2 linked regions of the Tribolium castaneum genome follow. The protein of the gene in region 2 purifies or fractionates together with the protein of the main gene of each other region. This does not show direct contact. Links are inferred from orthologs where the notes say so. Each region holds a gene or a part of one and is shown on either strand. Other genes may lie near its edges.

Region 1 (11,253 bases), on a different chromosome or scaffold from region 2:
CAGCAACAGCCTCCTCTCCATCAAATTCTCAAACCTCGCCAGCCTCAACTCCAACTCAATATCATCATCTTCAGTCTGATTGGGCTTTTGCGCCACCTCCTCCATCCGTTTACTCAACGTCAACTCCTCAAACTGTGCATAGGCGTCAAAGACTTGCGTAAAATCCCGCACAGTTGTAACCGTCTGAATCGCCTCCTCGTAAATATCCCGCGCCCGTTCAAACAACCCGCTCCTGACATAATACGTAGCCAGAGAGTTCCACAAATGCCCCAACTGATCAGTGTACCGCCTCAAGCCGCCCCTGATAATCGCATCAACATTCAACGAATGCACCTCTTCGGGATTTTTCGAAATCAACTCGCACAACTCGTTCCAGAGCTGGTGTTTGGACTTCCCGTGCTGTGACACGAAATTCTCATCATTGACAATCTTAGCCAACACAACGGCGGCTTCGTCCAAACGCCCAACTTCGGTCAAATACTCAACGTATTCCTCCGCATTCTCCGGACTGAGCTTCAAATACCGGCGAAAAATGCGCACAGCGGTCTCGGAAATGTCGTGCTTTTTGACGAATGTGAGGTAAAGGGGCCAAATCCGGTGGTGTTGGGTCACCGGGAGCGCCCTCAAAGCCCGGTCGAAAACCTTCCGAGTCCGCGTTATCTTGCACTGATCGGTCAGGAAACTGCAATAATCCATCCAAATTCGCGGCATTTTGTGCATGAAAACAAGGGAGCGCTCAAAAGCGTTGTTGACTTCCTCGAATGCGGGGTCTGTGATGCAGCGGTTTTTCACCTGGAGGCGGCGAGTGCGTAAGTAGTTGTACCAAAGTTTGTAAGAGCCGGGGAGCTCTTTAAGGGCCCGCTCGTAAATTATGTTAACGCCGTGCTTCGGGGCCTTCTTCTTGTGCTCAATGTAGCGCAGCCAGTGCTTCACAGAGTAGGGGTTGCGGAGGATCTCTTCTTCGTAAGGGAGGTCTTCGTCTGTCTGGAATTTTCGCAGTTATTTTGGACTAATTTTGAAACGGGATACGTACAAATATAATTTCCATGGGGGTTTCTTTACGAACAACATCGCTAGAGACAGGCATTGCGGCGCTTTGAACGAAAATATAACGTTGAGAAATGTTAGGTTAAGTAGATGAGGTTAGTTATTATTGTCGGTCAAAAGCGAATTCCAACAAATGCGAAATTAAAAATATACAAAATGTGAAATTGTGGTGTTTTTTAACAAGTGGTAGTATATATTGCTCTTATTTCTAAGTTTTAACCTAAAACACCTTAGTAAAATGCTGATGATATGATCAACAAAGATATAATACAGTAGAGTCTGGTTATAACGAACCCATTATAACGACCTCCAGCTATCACGTATATGCCAACAACCAAATAGTGGTTCAACTTTTTATTAGAAACTTTGTACAAAACAATTACTTAAAAACATTAACTCCATTGATTAAATAAACCGCCTCGTTATCGCACCCACAAAGAACCTTATTTCTGTTAACATCCAGACTATTGATTGGTTTGTGCAATTTAGGCATGAGCGTAAAAACATCCAACTTATTTTTGATAGCCTCGGATGCCAACCAAACATTCTCCCCATTCAGCAAACTAGAGGCACTGCCACATTTAGGCGACCAATGCCAAACATCCCCATCAGTGGAACAAGTGAATAGCTGGTCAGGATGATCTGGATGGAAGTGTATTTCCATAACGCCTCCCTCATGAGCATCCAACACATTCACAGGATATGTGTTTTGGCGCAAATCCCATATCGTTATCGAACCTGAAACGGAGTAAATAACATATTTCGAATTCTGATCAGAGTGGTCTATGACTAAAATTGAAGGCAGTGGCAACTTATAAAATGTGCTCAAAAAACTTCGTTCATCAAGTCACATATGAAATTTGAACGTAATGTGCCGCTTAATTTAAATTTAAAATAGTTAACTTGATGAACCACCATTTTTGAACACATTGTATTTTACCTAATTTATCTTTTAACGGAAATTGGAACTATAGAGACTTTTTTCAAAATTTTCTGCAGCAAAAAATAAGTGAAGCCTTAACGTCACAACCGCCTCTCATCACAGAAACCTTTTATTAATCACATATTTTTCACATATCTTCTACAAAATCAAAAAAATAACTACTTTCCAAACTCCTACCTGTTCTAAATTTTGTCTTGCACTTTGCGAAAATATCTCAGAAATTGTGTCTTCATTTCGATATTCTTTGGCAGTGATCAAAAACTATTTGATCTTAAAATTGGACCAAATAATGCTCGAGAGACGGTTATGACGTCATAATCCCAAATTTATATCGAAATAACTTGAAGTAGGATCGTTTCATAAATCATTTTAAAGTAACTTAAACTTTTAAAAGTGACTTCAATTTTTAAAATGCGTTTCAACCTAAAAATTTTCGTAAAATATTTCGTCAAATAATGATTAGGTAAAGACGTAAAGACGGCGGCAAATTACAAAAGCAACTTTAACAAACGTTAAATTTGTCAGTTTTTTGAATTGCACAAAATTAAGAAAGTGTTCATTTTTTCTTCTAATTCATTATCTTCTTCCGAACTGCGAAGACAAAAAATTTATAGAAAAAGAAAAATTATTTTGAAATTGTTAGTGATGTAAATTTCTTCGATCAGTTTCGTTTAACCAAGCCAACCATTTACGCTCGTTTGAAAAATGTTGAATAGATTACGTTCTAACAAGTAAAAGTCTCAAAATTGACGCCTGTGCTATGGCAGTTTGATTTAGGGTATTAATACAAATCGAAAGTTAAGAGTAAAAAATTTTCCAATTGTTCGTTTTAGAGTTATTGATAAAAATGTAAATAATAAGCTTTAGCTGTCTTTCCAATTATTTGTGCAACATAATTGATTAGTTGATGTTAGCGATATTAAAATTCTTTGAATAACTGTGTCTAGTAAAGAGTATTATTAATTTCCTTCGTTTTTGTATGTGTTAAATGATAAGATACCACTTTATTAGTGTATTCGAAATTTTGACGATATGTTAAAAGCTCGGTTATAAGTAAGATGTTTGTATGATGGCAATGCCACTGCTGAGACTAGGGCCTACACGGAAAAGTTTCCAAATCGCATTATAGCATACTTTGTGACAACAAATTTGGTAAATTCGCTTTTAATAAAATTTAATGTACAAATTTTAAATTTTAGATACTTATCAATAACTCGATAACGAAGGACAATTGGACAATTTTTCACTCTTAACTTTCGATTTGTTTTAGTCTTCTGAAGCAAATCCTAAAAGCATGGGCGTCAATTTTGAGTATATATAGGGTATATACTTATAGTTCTCACATTACTTGCTATGTCAACCGCAAACCAACAAAAACTTACCCCACAATTGCAGTTATTATTTTGATCATTGTTGTTTACAAGAAGGAATCCTAAAAGATAATGAGCCTCTTGCAGGTACTAAGAAGATGCCCAAAATAATTGATGCGGTTTTGTGGAAGTTTTCATTGGTTTATGGTATAGACATAGCCAGTTACGCAGAACTATACACAACATCAAAAATAAAAATATTTTCGTCAACACTATAACTATTTCATAAACTTCATCAACAGCAGCAAGCTGAAGACGAAAGGAACCATTATCGTTGATTTTTTTGCGTACTAATGATAATGTGGATTTAGCACAATTATCTGGCGGACTAAATACTAACAAAAAATAGTTATTAACATCAACTGCATTAAAGTTTGAAATATCAATGTCATTTCTTTACGTAAAGTAATCTTATATATGCGTTCCAAAATCAACTATCTCCGCGTTGTTTTTTGGAGTTATGTGTTTGCCTTAAAAGACTTAAAACTTTAGCCACATGTTATTTCAGCAAATACGTAGTTTGAGTTTTTTTATTCCATTTCACTATCTAGTCTTAAAAAAAGGATTTTTAAAAGACATTTTGTTCCATAACCGCCCATCTCCTCTCCAACTTGTTCCAAAACTTGCCACCTCCAACCTTAAAAAAAATGCAGGCTTTAAATTCAAACATTGTAATTAAAGTATAGGTCATCGAATTCTACTCTCTAAGAGGTTTTATATCAGTGTAATTTAAAATTTATTTGTTCAACAGCATTTGTATTAAACATTAAACAAAAATACTGAATAGAGACGGCAGGTTTTGGAACTAGACGACTCATTTTACAGCGTTCAATTTTATTAAAACTTCACGCTGTAAAATTATACCTACCGCACGTATAATGTAAATAACTATTTTGGTATCATTTAAAAGAAAGTTGCCAATACCTTTAAGTTGGCACCATTTTTGGCGTTTGCCAACATAAATAAAAAAAAAATAGGTACCTTCTTCATCGCCAGCTACCACCAAATGCCTCTGTGTAGGGTGGTTTTGGAGACACAATGGCGAGATTTGATCCCCACTCAACATGAAAGTGGTCGCGGGTTGGCTTTTAGGGGCCCGAATATCGAAAATCTTCAATTGTCCACGAAAATTACCGGTCAAAATTTCGCTATGCTTCAGAAAAGCCACACAACGAATTGAGCAACTATCGGCGTTTTCAATTGTGCGGATAACGTTTTGGTTTTGGGCATTTAACAAATTGATAGAACCGTCTTCGCCAACGCTCACAATATCGTTGTCGTAGGTGCAAAAGGCAGTGCAAGGGCAATTCTCCCCATTGGGAAATTTGTGAACTCCCTCCCAGTAAATTTTTCTCTCAATTAAGGGATCAATTCCATGTTCGGAAGTAATCTTCAGCAGACTGACGCAGCCCGACGACGAAGAAGCAACGAAAAAATCGCCGTTTAAGAACTAAAAAATGACAAAAATTGTTTCACTCGCTACGTGGCTCGTATCGCAATACTGATTGTAATATACATACTTTAACTTCAGTTATGTCCCCGTTGTGTGGAAATTCAGCCACCAGAAATGGATAAACTTCGGCATCTTCTTCATTTTCTTGGAAATCCCAAAGTTTGATGCTGTTTTGGTCATTGTCCCAACTGCCGGTTACAAAATAATGCGAGGCATTCATAAAATCGGGCCTCCAACGGATTTTATTAACTTTTTCAGAAACAAATGTTCCATGAATGTTGTGGGCCATATTTTGTGTATAATTAAGCCCATAAAAATTAAAAAAGTGGCGCTATAACCTCACTGTGTCGTTGAAAGCATAATTGAATAATTGTCAGGCAACCCACTATACGTGCGGTGGAGTATACTCCGTATCAAATCTATAAGACAAATTGCTTAACGACTCTACATTTTTTTAAGCCAGAAGTACGTTATAAGAATACATGATTAATGTTTAGAAAATATTGTTACGGCTGAACTGTAATAAGTTTATGTTTAAAAATAAAATAACTATTTAAAACAGATTTTTTTATGTGGGGGGTTTATTTTATAGAAACGGAAGTAGGTGTACGTTCATGGCAACCTGTTCACTGACAGTAATGTTTTCCACTAGATGTCAGTCATGAAATTTCAACAACAGAACTGGCCTTTATAAAGCCCCCCTACATGAAAGGCAATTAGACGAATTTAGTAATAAATACAAAATAAAGTATGTGATAAGCTCTCCCAAAGCCAAGAAATGGAACAGGTCAGTAAAACTAAAACAATTTACAACTTTTTTAACCTAGAAATTTTTCAGATTGATAAAAAAATCGAAGACGAAAATGATTAAACAGCTGTTGCCTGAGGAAGACACTAAGCCAGTTTAGTGTTGTAGCAGCCCCTTGAGGAGCACAAATGTCGTGATTATTCCTTTGAGACGAACCAGTTTCTACATTTAAAGGGACACCATTGAATAAGATACACTATACACACATTAAACATGTGCCTTTGAATCAAATGTGTGATTCCATTCACAGCTTGCGTTAGTTGCAATTTAGAGACGTTTTTTGTATTAGTGTTTCTAAAACTTGCTATTAGTAACAGACATGGTTATTTCAGTACTGTAAACAATATATATTTAAATGTCGCGAATGTTCATATGATGCAAAAAATAAAGCCGGCGATTTAAAAGATCACACACTGCACCACCATATACTTTCAACCTCATTAAATGTCTGTTGCACAGACTATTTTCAAGACGCTGTTTAAAAACATGTTTTTAGAACATTACATATCAGAACAGGTTTAAATGTTTCACTTAACTTTATAGAATAATTTGGTGAAACGTAAGGCCCTTATTGTATGTCACAAATCTCATTTTAAAACCAATAATAATATTAAATAGTTATTTTGTATTATCTTCCAAGCAGAGTAGTTAAGATTGACTAAAGTAATATTTTATAACAGTGCAGTTGACGACAGAAAATGATTCGCAAGTTAGGGTTTCTTTGGGCTTGCTTCAGCTTAGGCCCCATGTCTGCTCATGGTAACATCTGTTCTGAAAAGTGAGACGAAGTGAGCAATAAACATCTTTTTTACTGCAGACTAATCATTTTCTGGCCCCATTGCATTGTTGTCATGAAATATTACTTTAGTATATCTCCACAATTTCGCTTGGAAGAAAATAATGTTTGTCAGTTTAGGACGAAGCATAAAGGGTATTGGATGCGGAATCTTAGGCGAAAACATAATATTGAAAAAGGCTAACAGGACTTACTATTTTTACAATAATAATTCTCTCTATACCTACTGTTAAAAAACATGAGAAAGTGTTTATCGATGATTTTTTGTAATAATACATATTTTGTGACTCTACATTACATAAAAATTGATTATATTATTTTATAACCATTACGACCTGTAAACAGCTGTGGATGTATGGTGTGCAAGTTTAAGGATTTACAGGGATTTCGGGGATGTACTGGGAGTTTACCTTTATCTATAAATTTACACCACTGCGCAAGCCCAAAAGTTAAGACGCATGTCACCTGATTTCTAATGCTCTTGTGTAAATAAAACAAACTGAAGATTTATATTTCGTTTTTGAGTTAGGAGTGGTTTTATTTTAAAAACCTAAACCTAAAACGTTTAATTCTTAAACCAATTTAATTTAACAAAGGAGCATATCGATTAAGGGTAGTTTTTGACGAGTAGGTACTTGGAGTTTGTTTTGAAATTTCCCTTCACAGTAACCCACTAGTTTTTTGTTTAAATTAAATTGACTCTAAATCAGATATGTAGTACTACTATTAGAGTTCAAAATTGCAAAAATAAAACATCCCCCAATATATAAACGAATCGATAATCTTTTTTCACGGTTTGATAAGGTTTTTTGCAAGTTTTCAAAACTGTTACAAAACGTAGGGGATTTCATTTAAAATTTTGAAATAAGGGTAGCTAACAGCAGAGGTATAAAAGCTAAGGCGTTTGCACAAGGTACAGGAAGTATGGTGTTTAAGTTTAGATCTGCTGTTTATCCCTCGGATCATTATAAATTATAACACAGAATTCTTAAATTTTCTTTTAATTTTAATTCTAAGGCATATGCAATTTATAACTAAATAAATATTATTAAAATCAAGTATATGCAGTAACAACTGGGGACTTTTTCAAAGGTTGTGTCACGTGATACCTACGTCAGACACGATGTGAAGCCGTGACGTAAAGTTTCAAGAAAAAACCATGTGACCCACTTTTCCTTCCTCTCCCCTACACCAAACGCTGAACTCCAGTCAAGTTACATTAACATCAGCGCCCCCAACGGCAAATATTATAAATACAGTGGAAGTGTTGTGAATGTGATGCATTCTCTACTATCGATAATGCTGATTTTTCATCAATAATGAGCTTTTCCAATGAAAATTAAGCTAGACGGTGAGTAAAACCCCTTGCTACGACGATGTTTTCCAAGTCAGTCGCTCCAAACATGTGTAGAGCTAACAGAAAGGGTTTTATTCTAGGTTATGTAAATAAGAGCGAAGAAGTGTAGCGAGTTGCCGAAAGCCGGCTTTAGTGCTGAAAAGTGGCCGAATTTTCCTCCGAGCCCGCAATGAACCGCTTTCCACGGCTGTAAAACGCGCATTTCCCTTCCATTGTGCATCGAGTTCAAGTCGTTTGTAACCAAACAATACCAACTGTGCATTTGCTAGATCACTATAACCCACGACAATGTCCGAAAGCGAGCAGCTCGACCTTGCGCCGCCCCCGCCGCCGCCGCCGGAAGCCGAACCGCCCGCTCCACCTCCCGAGGAGCCCCAGAACGGCGACGACAAGCCCCCAACGCCGCCCGAGGAGCCCCCACCGCCAAGTGAGTCCCCTGACGACACCAGCACCCCCAAAACCAGCCGCGAGCTCAAATCCATTCTCGCTTTGTCTAAAGAGGCGAAGCTAGACACCAATCTGTCAACAAACAGACGCAAAACGCTAGACAAAGTCAAGGGCACGCCGAAAAAATCACCCAAAATGACGAGTTTTCCTGTTACAGCCGAGAGCGAGCTGGAAAATTACGACGTGAAAATCGACGAGAAAAAAGCGAAGAAACGAAAATCGAGCTTCGGAGGCGAAAGCGGGGCAGAGGGCGCCACCGCCGATGAGGCAAGGAGGGGGCTGCAGTTTTATAACAACGATTTTATCATGGCAAGGAAGGTAAGGCGGCTCAGAAATACACAAATTGTGTTCAAACTAGTGCTCATTTGAGCTATAAACAAGAAAAGTGGACGCAAGTGTTTGTAAAAAACGCCAACTTGTCACGATCGTGCGAGTGATAGTTGGCTGTGATTTGTTTTTCACACGTTGCACAAACTGTTCAAATGTCAACAAAAAAATATATTTTTACAATTAAATGGTGCTTGAAGCCTTTCTTGCCGTTTCCAGCAAAAGGCCCTGATCTAAAACAGGTTTCATTAACGTTGTATTACACAAAAAGTGTTATTACAGTTGTTGTCTCGAGTACAAGGTTGTAAATATACACCAAGCGCATGTTGGCATATTTTAGTTGTGTAAAATTAACAACTGTTTTTTAGATACTGCGCTAATATTTTACGTCACGTATTATGATAAGTAAAATTACAACTTTTTGTAAAATAGTTCATTCAACAAAAACGTAGATCTTCACTAATTTTAGATTATTTTGTGGTATGTAAGAACTTTGCCAATCACGTAACAAGTGACATCTACATTATTTTTATACAGAGTGTCTATAAAAAACATAGATGGATACTCTCTGTTTCAAAACTACGGAAGTGCCGCCGTTGCATTTTACCGAATTATTTGTTTTAATAAGTATATAAATTGCATTATGGTCCGGTTCAAACATTTAGCAACAGCTGTCAATTTTTAAAACTAATTTTCGCTTTGAATTCTCTTGGCTCTATCGCTGGGATTCTATTTAACACTGAATTATTTCACAGAAACTCTCAATTTGTGCTCTATTCTACTAAAAAAAATGCAAAGGCGCTGTTGCCATTTTCTACTAAGAACTGAAATGAGACAGCTATTAATTTTTTGAAGTGCAAATGAATAATTTATAAGAAGAGAAAATGTGACGTTGGTATTTCCATAGTTTTGAAACGGAGAACAAGTGATATGAAAATTTTAGAAATATGGTTTTGATGTATTTAATGAAATGACTGCACACTTAAAATTAACCAATTTAACACAAAATAACACGGAAACACAGAAAGTTTTAATTTGACTATAACTTTAAAATAGCAAGTAGACTAGAATCATATTCATCCCGTCACCTAATAGAACAAATGATAGTTGTACCTGAACAAAAGCACTTTACGACTATTAATGAAGCTCTCAGGTTTTTGAAAATTCTACCTTCAAGGGGGTTAAACAGGGGCTAAATTTTATATAAAAAATCTTTTTTTTTTTAATTTGAACTATGGAAAATTAGTATTTGGGCTTTTGCTTAAAAATGAAAAACTTGTTTTAGGTTTTTTGGAAATTCCACTTGTAGAGGGTTCAATATGAAAATTCGACATTTTTGAAGATATACAAGGTGTTTACGAAGTTGAGATGTTTCTTTTAACACGAGGCTCTATGCATTATTCTTCATAGTTTTAGCCTAAATCGTCTTAATAAAATGTTTTTATTAACGGAGATAATGTTAAGTTTTTCTAAAATTTTGACTCCGGTCTTGTCTAAAAATTTCGGGCACTTTTAACATTTCATTGTCAAGAAGGATAGGGAATTACACACGTTTATGTCAGCGAAACGTCAAATGTGTCCGAAACTTTTTGCTCGCCATCGTACTATTTAGGCCTTCGGTAAAAAATGAAGAAACACATGTTTCATTCTTTTTAAAATTTTAATCTTCAGGCATCTTCCAGGGGGGTTAAGTATAAACGTTCTAAAGCGACACCTCTATTAGTTTATTATGCACCAAATACAAATAAGAGAGTCACAAATTACAAAACTGTACAAAAATCCGTATGGCGCCAGTGACACAACCGCCATATTCCAGCGATCGCAGCGCCCCCGTCGGTCATGTTCTTCGCTTAGGGGTGGAATTTTTAAAAAAGCATGAAACATGTTTTTTTTTCATTTTTTATATGACAGTGTCATAAAAAATGCCATTTTAATTCAAACTTGATCACCTTTTTTAACCCCCTTGTGGAATGATTTTTCAAAATAATCTATTAGCCGTTTCAAAACTATAAAAATGCCAACGTCGCATTTTACCGAAATATTTTATTAATTAAGATTGATAAAATTGTAGAATTGTTATTAATGATTAGATCTCTCATTGAAAGTATAAATTACGTTAGCTATTAGGTTTTTGAAGTGTATGAATAATTTATAACAGCTAATTTTGAGAGAAAATGCTACGTTGGCGTTTTTATAGTTTTGAAACCGTTAATATAATGTAATGATAATAATTTTCAATTTATTTAATATGTAAATTTTTACAGCTAATAAAAAAATAATTGAATACAAAGTACTTAATCAGATTACATTGTAATTAGTTTAAAATGCAATTACATTATAATCTGATTTTGCCCATCTCTGGATAGATTTTCACAAATTAAATAAAATGAAATGTGCATTTTTGTGACTTTTGTATATTTGGGTGCGAACACTAGGCGCAGGTCTCGTAAAGTTGTGGGAAACACCTTGTATATTTATTACAAGACAGCATGCCATACACCGACATATACCTTATGGACCTGAACTTACTTAAAATAAAATATTCTTCATCTAATGTAGTAGGGATCAGTGTTTTATTTTCTCATGTTTTATTGCAGCCCAACAAAGACATCTTTTGCTGGCGCTGTCACCACGATGGCGTCCAAGTGGCATGCGAGACGTGCCCCAGGGCGTACCATCTTAGGTGTCTCAAACAGACAATCACA
Region 2 (10,013 bases):
AATAGGAGAATAGGGCCTAATACGATAAATACTATGTACACGATAAAATTCCAAAGGGATTTTGGAAAGGTGTCATCATACATTGCTATGGACAGCATGCCCCCTGAAAAAAAAAGCAAAAAAAAATGTATAAATGCCCTTGTTAATTGTTTAGAATAAATAACGATAAATGTGTCGCCCCGCATTACACATCTCTGACCCACTTTATCCAATGACATAAGTGTGACATAATTTCGATTATTGTTAATCTAAATTCGAAAGTGAATTGTGCCGAGTACGGTAATTCACAAGTTTTGAATGAATTTTTAAAACTACCTTGGATTATTTGCAGAGTTTGTTTTGGGGAGCACTTTAAACATAATTAAGTGTTGGTCGCAGTTTGAATAATTCCAAAGAACGTGATCATCACAACAAGAACCACACAAAATAACTTCTCCCACAAAGACTAGTTTGTACAATCTGAGCAAGTCGGCTATACCTGGACGACCTTCGCTGTTTTATTTAATACTTTCGCTTTTACGCCATGGATTTGTTCATTTCTGCTACAATTATGTAATTGTAACGAACCGATTTGGAATGTTGGTTTATTTAATCACGTCTGGAGTATAAACAAATTGAGCTAAACGTGAGACAAACGCTAAGTCGGAATTGTTCAATGTAAGCCAGGGTCAGGTTTTAATTGTTTCGCTCATCACTTGCATTGCGAAATCGTAATTTATTAAAATTGATGCAAACAGGTCTTGGGCAATGTTCGAATCCCAAATGTCAAATATTTACTCAACGTGATGCAAAACGGTACTCAATCAATAAAAAACTCAATTAAATCTGGTTTCATGTTTTTATTCTTCAAGCGCCAAAATTCCAATTTTTAGCGCAGTGCGTGTTTAATTGGTTGCCTACACTAACACTTTTTTGTTCAAATCATTATTAATTTATTAATTAACCAGTAGAATAACTAATAAAATTCACCTTTGTTTGTTATTTGCACAAAAAATACAGCGCGGTACGCAATTTTTTGAATATTTCTTATGACCCGAACAGCCCCTGTTTACCTGCCCCACATGACTAATTCAAAATCGGCGAATCGTCCGTATACGCAGTGCGCAAATAATTTTTATTTTTCAGTGTTTCTGACGTGTCGGATATTTACCTTAGCGACCATTCTTCAGCTTTTATGCAGATAATATCTAATAATAAATTCAAGCATGCGCTAAAAGCTCGATTAAAAATGTGCTTGTTTGATTGTATCATTTTGAAATAAAGCGGTGAGGGTGTATGTAGTTTTTTACCATGGAACTGTACGAAGTTAAAAGTGCGACTAATGAAACCGTGCAAGCGAACTACAGTAAATTATCTGATCATATAAGACGGTTGACACCGCAAGGTATTCAGTGTAGCGTTTTCTGTGGCGGGACTAATTGTAAATACGAAAATCCGGAAAACTGGAAAGCCGACAGTTTGGCCATACAGGGGATATACTCACATTGGTGAGTATCTCCTGGAATAAAAATCCTCAAATTGCGCAATTAACGTGATAAATCATGAGGCACGTTTTTGCAGGATAACTGACGATATTTTAGCGATGGCACGTCCTAGTACTATGGTGATTGTACAAAAGAATATAATTCAACAATTTGAAAGGTACACCCGAGCTCCTAAATTATTTAGTTATTATGATACCTCTTTAGTTTAGGAATAAAATCGATAATTAATTTACAATCACCGAGAGAGCATGCAAGTTGCGGGCAACCGCTGGAAGAATCGGGCTTTTCTTACGACCCAAATATATTCATGGAACACAATAGTAAGTCATAACAATGTTATCAACCGCATCTTTTTGTGTGCATGTTAATTGCTAATTCGGTTGAGGAATCGATCCGATATTTACACTTGAACTACTTTTCACCTACTCAAACCCATAAGTAAATTTATTCAATAATGTGCATGAGCTTTCGTTGACATAACAACATAAATACCATTTCCTGCACGAAAAACAAAACTAACTGAAATTAGAGATAATTCCCTCGTGGGCAATCGCGATTACACGAAATAATTACCTAAAGACTTTATCTGTATTGATTCCGAAAAGAAAATATTCTATAAATAAAAAACTGTAATTACGTCTGCGAATGGAAAACATTGCCACAATATCGGCCCCCGAAAACAACAAAGTATAAAAATAGCGTTTCCGGAAAATGCAAATGCGAAAAACCCCCGTCATAAATCTTTCAGTCAGTTATTACGCGTATGTAGATTTTCTAAATTTCTCGTCCGTTGATAAGGAAATCGGGTCGTACAACATAGGGGTATAAACCTGATAAGTTAACCTACATAAAATCGCGTGAATTCGCCCCGTTAACGTGTTTAAATCGAATTAATCATTAATTGGTGCTTGAGCCCAACTGTCTATTTAAATCGGGCAGAATTGATTCGTAAATGAATCGACTTGTTGAATACCCCTATCTGAACTTTATTTAATGAAGAACCGTATTCGATTAGGGTAAATTATTTACGCATTGTTCTAACTATAAACCGGCCGAGCTTTGGCCGAAATCGACAAACCCAATAAGCTTCCAATTACCCGAAGGGAATTAGGGTTTTTATCCCGTGGGAAATTCCTTTCCCGGTCAATTATGCTCGCGTGACGTGCAAAGTGCGCTTTGATATCGACTTTTTCCATAATTAATTAGCCTCATTTATTTTAATGGGGGATTTTTAGTCACACTCAAGTCGCACAGTTTAAAATCCATGCCCATTTCCAGTTTTTTATTACAATTTCGCCTGGAAGGACTACGGGGATGCCACGCTGGTGGGCCTCCTCAACATGGTGAAGGTCCTGGCGTTTGCCGTAACGGAAGGACGCGTGGCTATTCACTGCCACGCCGGTAAGAATATAAGCAACATGCGATATGACCGAGTTGATGAGTTTGTTACTTTTATTTCTGTATTTGGTATTGATTTTATTAAGTAGTGTAAACACGCCGTCAATCATATTTATTGGTCCAACACCACGTTCATTTTTTATTAATTGCTATCAAGAAAACTTTATTTTCTGTGTTGACATGATGTATAATCAACATCGCTGTTTCAAGGCCACGGGCATTAAATATTCTGATCAAACGATCAACTTTCAGGTCTAGGGAGAACTGGGGTTCTGATAGCGTGTTACTTGGTTTACTCGCTTCGAGTTAGCGCAAACGATGCCATAAGATACGTCCGGTTGAAAAGGCCGGGGTCGGTCCAAACCCGGGGACAAATTTTATGTGTCCGCCATTTCGCACAATTTGTACTTCCCCGAACTATAACCTACTGTCTCAAGTATGTTAACTGGGTATTGTCCCGAAACCAAAATTAACGTTTCAGAGAAAACATCAACAAAAACAAATATATGAGTGAGTTTAGCTTGGTGCGGTTCCTGCACAGGCAGAGGGTCATCCTCCACGGCTACGAGGAACGCACTTTCAAATTCATACCGAAGATCGTCCACTGCATTTGCGAGCGGATTTTGAAGCTGTGTGGCTGCTGGATTGACGAATTCTCGTCAAACACGCCACTCACCTTCGATTTCCTTTACACGAAACTCAACGGGAACATCAAAAGATACGAAAGTACCTACAGCTTGTGCAGCACGAACTCCGATTGTGAGTCGTTTGGTGCGCTTATTTTGGCTTATGCCGCTTTTCAGCGCTCTTTTCCAACGAATTAAAGTCTCCTGAAGAAATCTCTTCACCTTCTAGTCCAAACCCTTCCGAGAATGGCGACCCGAGCGACTCGTTTTCCGAATTGAGCACCCTAGACGGTGACGAAATAAGGGAAGAACTTTTAATAGAAAATCGATGTTTTCAAGAGTTGGAAACACAAAAGTGTTTCAATCAAGAAATGAGTGAGGAATCAATAGTTATCCAAGACATAAATGTCGCAGTCGATGCACTATTACTGGATTATTCAACGCTATCGAATGAGATCAAAAAGAAAGTGAGACAGTTTCAAATCGAAATTAATTCGTCCCAAGTCGGGTGGGCGAAGCTTGCGATTGAGACGGACTTGAGGATTTTAGCGATGCTGCTTTTTGAGTGGATCGAGAGTCTGAAGCATCCGGTCATGAAACGCGAGTTTTTTGAAAACATTGTCGTCAATTACAAGCAACCTGAAGTCTGCTTCCAGAAGTTTCCAGCTGTATGTATCCTCTGTGAGGACGCAATATAACTAGTTTTTTGTTCCAGGAAGAAGGCTATTTCATGGAATATTTGCTCCGATTTGTCAGTAAAATTAACCCGATTAGTAAAGAGAATCAGGAGGATTTGATAAAACGGATAATTGCCGCATGCTCGCAGCAAACTTTGCTAATCCAAGGGAAGATGAAACCGATAGGTTTGTATTTTTGCATTTGCCGCGTTGAACACAAACCGGCCGTGGTTGCAGATAAAGGGTTTAAAAAACTGCGGGACGGAACGTTGGCTTGCACAATAGAGTTTTTCCAGTCGTTGTTTGAACTGATTGAAGTTCACCACAGCCTTAAGTCGAGTGTTTACTTAGAAGAAAGCAAGATGTATAACGAGAATGATCTCGAGAATGACTTCCAATAAACGAAATGTGTGTGTGAAATACTATTTTTTTAATGTATGTACTTCTTTAATGAATCTCCTTAATCCATCGCGTACGTTTTTATTAAAACCACTCGTCCACAATAACATATTTATTAAGCAGAAAGGAATTACAATAAACATAAAATGACAATTATTAAAAATACATAACTAACGAATTTCTGGCTCCTCTACGGTGAATTTGTTGAACAGATGAAAGAACTCATAATGCTTAATATCAGGAGGCATGGCCAGATTGTTCAAAATCTCAACAAACTTGGCTTGGAACACCGGATTATCTAAACTCTTGTGAAAAATCTTAAACAGCAAGGCACATTTTCGCGAAAGTTCAACAACGAACAGCTTCTGTTTGTCGTTATTAGTCGGAAAGCAGTTAATTCTTCGGAACAAGGAAGCTAGTTTTCCCCCAACGGACGACACTTCGGTACTTCCACCCAATGTTTCTTGCAACTCCAGAAATTCCTTAACAAGTCCAACCTGCGTGTTCCAGTTCACTAGGAGATTGGAATACGGTTGGATCTTATTGATAAAGCTATTCAAATAGTCGTACTGTTCGTTAATGAACAGCTCGGGTAAAATATTGTCAATAAAAGCGGCATTGGCCTCTTGCCACTTCCCCATGTAGATGTAGTGCTGGAAGTACTCGTAGTAGCGACCGGCGATTTTGGCTTTCGTAGCTTTGATTTCGTGGATCCAAGATGCGGGAATTTTGAAAGTCTTCACAAGTTCTCTCTCAACTGACTCGGTTCGAGTCGAGAGATTCCTATCAAGGATTCTCATCACCAGATTCTTTTTCAACAAGTTGTTTTCAAGGAAGAGGAGGCAGAAGATCGCCCACTTCCAAAGGCCCAAGTTCTCCAACTGGGTGGCGAACGTTGTGTGCAAGTGATCCTTTTCCGACTCGCGAATCAACCCGACTCGCAATGACGCAAACAATTGAAGCAAAAACCAACTACAATATTCAATTTACACAAAACTGTTTGTTTTTTTGCAAACTTACCTAAGCCGATAGTCCATGAGATTATCAGTGTGTGTTTCGGGATGCAAAACATTACATAATTGATGCGTACCATCAACATAAAGCGTCAAAATTTGGTAGAGAATATCGTAGTGTTTTACTGGCGAATCAGCCTCGCAGTGCGGCGGTACCGGCTTTGCTGCATAGTCAAGTTCCTCAAACGCTTTCTTATACAAATTAAACGCCACACTAATCGGAGCTGCAGCTGGGGCCACGTACCACAAATGCACCCCGAAACTCCTCATCCAGTCCAGATCCTCACAAGTGTTTATAATTTCATGCACCGGTATGCCGGCAAGAAGCAAATACAATCTTTTGAAATCATCAGTGATTACATCCCTCTCCCTCCATTCAAAACTCTCCACGTATTTCCTCAACCAGGCTTTCACCCTCTCGTTGGCACTCATCTGGCTGATCAGCAGACTCAACTGACTCAAATTGTTGCTACCGGCCAACTCGCTCGCTTCAGCAATTTTATGGAATGACAATAGTTTGAAAATCGTTTTAAATGCCTCACTTTCGTCACGACCGATTCGGTCATGCAAAGTTACGTCGCCGGATAACTCGTACGAAAATTTTCTCAACCAGTCACTGACGTACTGTCTTCGCATACAAGGCGTGTTATCGCCCGGTCCCCACAGCGCCAAACACAAATTCCAAACGCTACAATAGTACTTTTCCCGGCCTGACAGTGGCTGAGTTTTTACGTAATCGTTGAATAAATCGGTTTGTTTTTGCAGGTAATTCAAGTCGCATTTAATACGAAGAGTTGGTATTTGGTTATTATCAAGCACGATATCACTTTCCTCAAGGGTTACTTTAAGTAAATCAGTCAAGTTTGGCTACAATCAAATTATACAACACATGATAAGATAACACAAACGCACAACTAACCATTGCTGAGTTCGCATTCATGACATCGACGTTACAATGAGTGAGGGCATAAACCACCTCGTTGTCAGCAACAGGATCATAGTTATAGAAATTGAAACCTTTCCCCCACCCCACTTTATACGTGTTGCAGCGGAAGACGCCCATCTCCGTGTAACACTTTTGAGTTGTGGTGACTTTTTCCGGAACGATTGCCACTAAATAAATAAACAAATATAGCTTTATTTCTTAGAAAACAAAAATACTATTAAAATATTATATAACAAACTGAAAATTATTTAATCGTACGTAATAGACACGCTGTAATATTTTAGAAAAAACTGGTAACACAATAGTTACTGGAACAATTCGAGCTGTTTTAAGGGCCATGGAAATAATCTACTTTAGAATGCTGATTTCCTGCACACTTACGTCTGATATCCGGTAGTTTGTAGACCTTAGGCGTCACAATAACCTTGCTCGGGATTAGCTGTTGTTTGAGAACACTTTGCGTCTTCTTCGGTTCTTGACTCTCCAAATTGACAAAAAGCGACGACTTGAGCGTCTGGATCGACGATTCTGTGTGGTACATCTCCTCCGAAATGGTGTATTGATCCTCTTCGGGCCAGAAGTCGAGTAACGTCGGCTCGGAGGCGAAACCCTCCGAGTCCTGCATGAGTCGCGTTTTGCTTACCTGGGCACTGCCCCCTAACCCAAGTGGCGGCACCTCGTCCACCTTCTTCAACAGATATAAGACCCCCACACCCAGAGGAAAATATCTACTTACATCAAGCTTTTTCAAAAGGTCTTGCGCCTTCTTAGTGACGGTTTTATCCGCCGAGACTTCGCATTCCTCCTCGTCGCTGTCCGTGAACGCGTATTTGGAGAAATGCTTCACTTTGAAGACCCACGACCCGGTGTTGGGCCTATAATCGACGAACTTGCTGTTGTGCTTTTGCGTGACATGCATGAGGTTGTCGACGAAATTGGTTTGGATGATTTGATTGACGTCGGTGATGTAGTTATTGGTTCCCTTCTCCCGCGGGTAAATTTTGTCTAAGGTCACTTGAGCGCGCCGGTTTAGACCTTCGCCCACTGGGGGTTTTTTGTTATCATCGGGGTAAATAATCACTTCACGGTGACGGAAATGTACGATTTCGTCCAGGTTCATGTTGGCGATGTTGATCAGGTCGGGGAAATGGACATTGCCGTAACCCCGACGCCCAATCGTCAGTCCTTGCACGATACAGTCGCCGTTTTCATCCATGTATTGATGCAAGTCTTTCAAAGCCGGGTACATGTAGTACTCCGGTCGTGTCAGTACCACACCGGCGGGATTCTCGGTACTTTCTGTGTCAGTCGTCGACACAGTCAAAGCTAGTTCAGGAACCGTGTCCGTGATTGTCTCGTCGTCGTTTATCCCTATACTCCCGTTGCCGAACCGAGGAGTTGACTTTGCAGTCGTTGACTCACTCAAGCTAGTTTTGCTCGAACCTGTTTTGGGACTGTAACTAGAATCGTCGAACGAATAGGACGACTTGTTCGTTCTGGCGCTGTCAGTGACCGATGGGTCGAATTGCAACTTCAAACTCCTCCTGCTTTTGGTGATATCTGTCTCGGTCAGATCTTCCGTGTAGTCATTCTCAGTGACAAGACTCCGCGGGCTCAAAATTACACAAGTACCGGCCTCACTTGGTGGCGATGCTTTGATACACTCCTCAGCTTCCTCGATAAGCTCATTGTTGTATTTATTGTAAATAGTGGAATTACTGTCGTTGAATTTACGAATAACGAGGCATTTATGTGAACTTTTAAGCATCTGGCTCGTTTCGAAAAACTCTTTATTGTAGTTAGTACCCTACAAATAATTATAGTAACACAGCGACAAAAACAATACGAGCACTTACTCGTTTAGGTCTCGGCAAGTCAACTTTGATTTTCGACCCCGCCCCTGCACTCTCATCCCTCTTTTTCGAATAATCCAAAAGCGCCTTAATATCCTGCGGGTTCGTGGTACTTTTACTCGAATCTAAAAGTTTAGGCTCCAGACCGTAAACGAACGGCCCATCGGGAAAGCTATCAGTTGCAAGCAGCGAGATACTTTTATTGTCGTCGCCCGATTCTGGCGGAAAGTGACTGAAAGTTTCGCAAATTCAATAAAACTCTTCAAACCGACAAAAACCACTTACGCAGGTTGTTGCTGGTTGAGATTAAGTGAGTACGAAGCCGGCGTTTGTTGAAAAACATTATTAGAGAAAAGACTACCACTTCCGGTTGTCGTGCCGCCGAAAAGACTCGGCGGTTTTGCCGTCGCAGCACCGAACAGTGGTTGTTGTTGCAAGCCGGTGGTCAAGTTCGTACCAAATGTAGGTTGAGTAGGTTGTGTGAACGTACTAGGGGTTAGTTTGCCGAAATTTGAGCCAAAAGCTGGTTGACTCGTTTGGCCAAACCCAGTCGTTCCCGTGTTAGTTTGGCCGAAAATTCCGAAACCGGTGTTGGGTTTCGAAACTTGGAACAAATTCGAACTCTGGGTCGTACCCGTTTGATTAAATGAAAAGCCCGTCTGGGCGGTATTGAACCCAGTGGTGGGCTGCGCCGGTTTTTGAAACAAATTGGTCGCAGGATTCTAGAACGGGAACAAATCAAAAGCTAGATTTTTTGATCTACGTTTTACCAACGTAGCGTATTTTATTCGCAAATATTGCAAAGTAGTTTCATACTTTCTAATTCAATTCATTTTAAAGCAATTTTTTTTTTTGGTTATTCGATACCTGAGTTGCGGAAATATTTATTTTATAAAATCTCTGTACTTTTACACAGGTAGAACTGTGTACTTTTTAATAGTAATAAAGTTACGAATACTTGACCTTAAAAATGCACCTTCCTGTATATGTTTCAGGTAGGTACCGCAAAAAACGTTAAATAGCGAAGTCCTAACAACCTCTTTGTTTGCCACCTTGTCACAATTCATTATCTAGCAGATTATATTTTTTGTTGGTGGCATTTTATCCACATTACACAATTAATGTGCCATTTAATTTCAATCAGTTTGTTACTTACTGTTGTCGCGAATACGTGAATAAAAATTTTGTAGTTTAAAAATTTAAATTCGTTGCTAGTGCGTGTTGAACGTGTGCGGCTAGTGGTTAGTGTGTGCTACTAGAATGGATTTCCAGGGAGAAAAAGGAAGAAACAATCCGGATTAAAGGGTTAGTTTGCAACACTTTCATAAAAATTACATTAAATCTGTAATATTTTCAACTAATTTAGAGGCGTATTGTTCTAACTTCATTGTTTTTATTTCAGTAGGTCCGTTTAAGAAGATGATGCGATGGGAAATGCCATAAGGTCAGTGCATTGATTTGTTTTACTTTATTTTTAATGCATTTTAATTTACATTATATAATTCTTTATAAGCTTTAGAAGGTCAAAAATACTTTACTTAATAAATAAGTACTGAATATCTTGCAAAATTATAATCCTAATAAAATTTTTATAAACGACGATATATAAATTTATAA

The links. Proteins that work in one complex are often made in the same cells at the same time.
Region 1: the proteins of Nup98-96 (region 2) and Nup43 purify together in Homo sapiens (affinity purification with mass spectrometry; 4 studies listed by BioGRID and IntAct, counting the BioPlex papers as one, with this or other methods). This does not show direct contact. The link is inferred for Tribolium castaneum from reciprocal best matches to the Homo sapiens genes NUP98 and NUP43.

The regions. Positions count from the first base shown.
Region 1 is NC_087398.1:14,039,275-14,050,527, forward strand, and holds Nup43 (nucleoporin Nup43), read right to left. Parts: upstream 5,205-11,253; 5' UTR 5,103-5,204; coding exon 4,881-5,102; intron 4,811-4,880; coding exon 4,342-4,810; intron 1,786-4,341; coding exon 1,427-1,785; 3' UTR 1,387-1,426; downstream 1-1,386. Other genes in the region: fand (pre-mRNA-splicing factor syf1 homolog), read right to left, coding at 1-984, 1,034-1,087; MYND-type zinc finger-containing chromatin reader ZMYND8, read left to right, coding at 8,063-8,539, 11,146-11,253. UniProt on the Homo sapiens protein: Component of the Nup107-160 subcomplex of the nuclear pore complex (NPC). The Nup107-160 subcomplex is required for the assembly of a functional NPC.
Region 2 is NC_087403.1:3,504,112-3,514,124, forward strand, and holds the end of Nup98-96 (nuclear pore complex protein Nup98-Nup96), read right to left. Parts: intron 9,119-10,013; coding exon 8,682-9,118; intron 8,629-8,681; coding exon 8,400-8,628; intron 8,351-8,399; coding exon 7,280-8,350; intron 7,232-7,279; coding exon 6,925-7,231; intron 6,711-6,924; coding exon 6,517-6,710; intron 6,465-6,516; coding exon 5,605-6,464; intron 5,557-5,604; coding exon 4,755-5,556; 3' UTR 4,682-4,754; downstream 1-4,681. Other genes in the region: protein tyrosine phosphatase domain-containing protein 1, read left to right, coding at 1,291-1,487, 1,561-1,641, 1,689-1,804, 2,763-2,885, 3,135-3,318, 3,364-3,641, 3,686-4,176, 4,224-4,371 and 1 more. UniProt on the Homo sapiens protein: Plays a role in the nuclear pore complex (NPC) assembly and/or maintenance. NUP98 and NUP96 are involved in the bidirectional transport across the NPC. May anchor NUP153 and TPR to the NPC.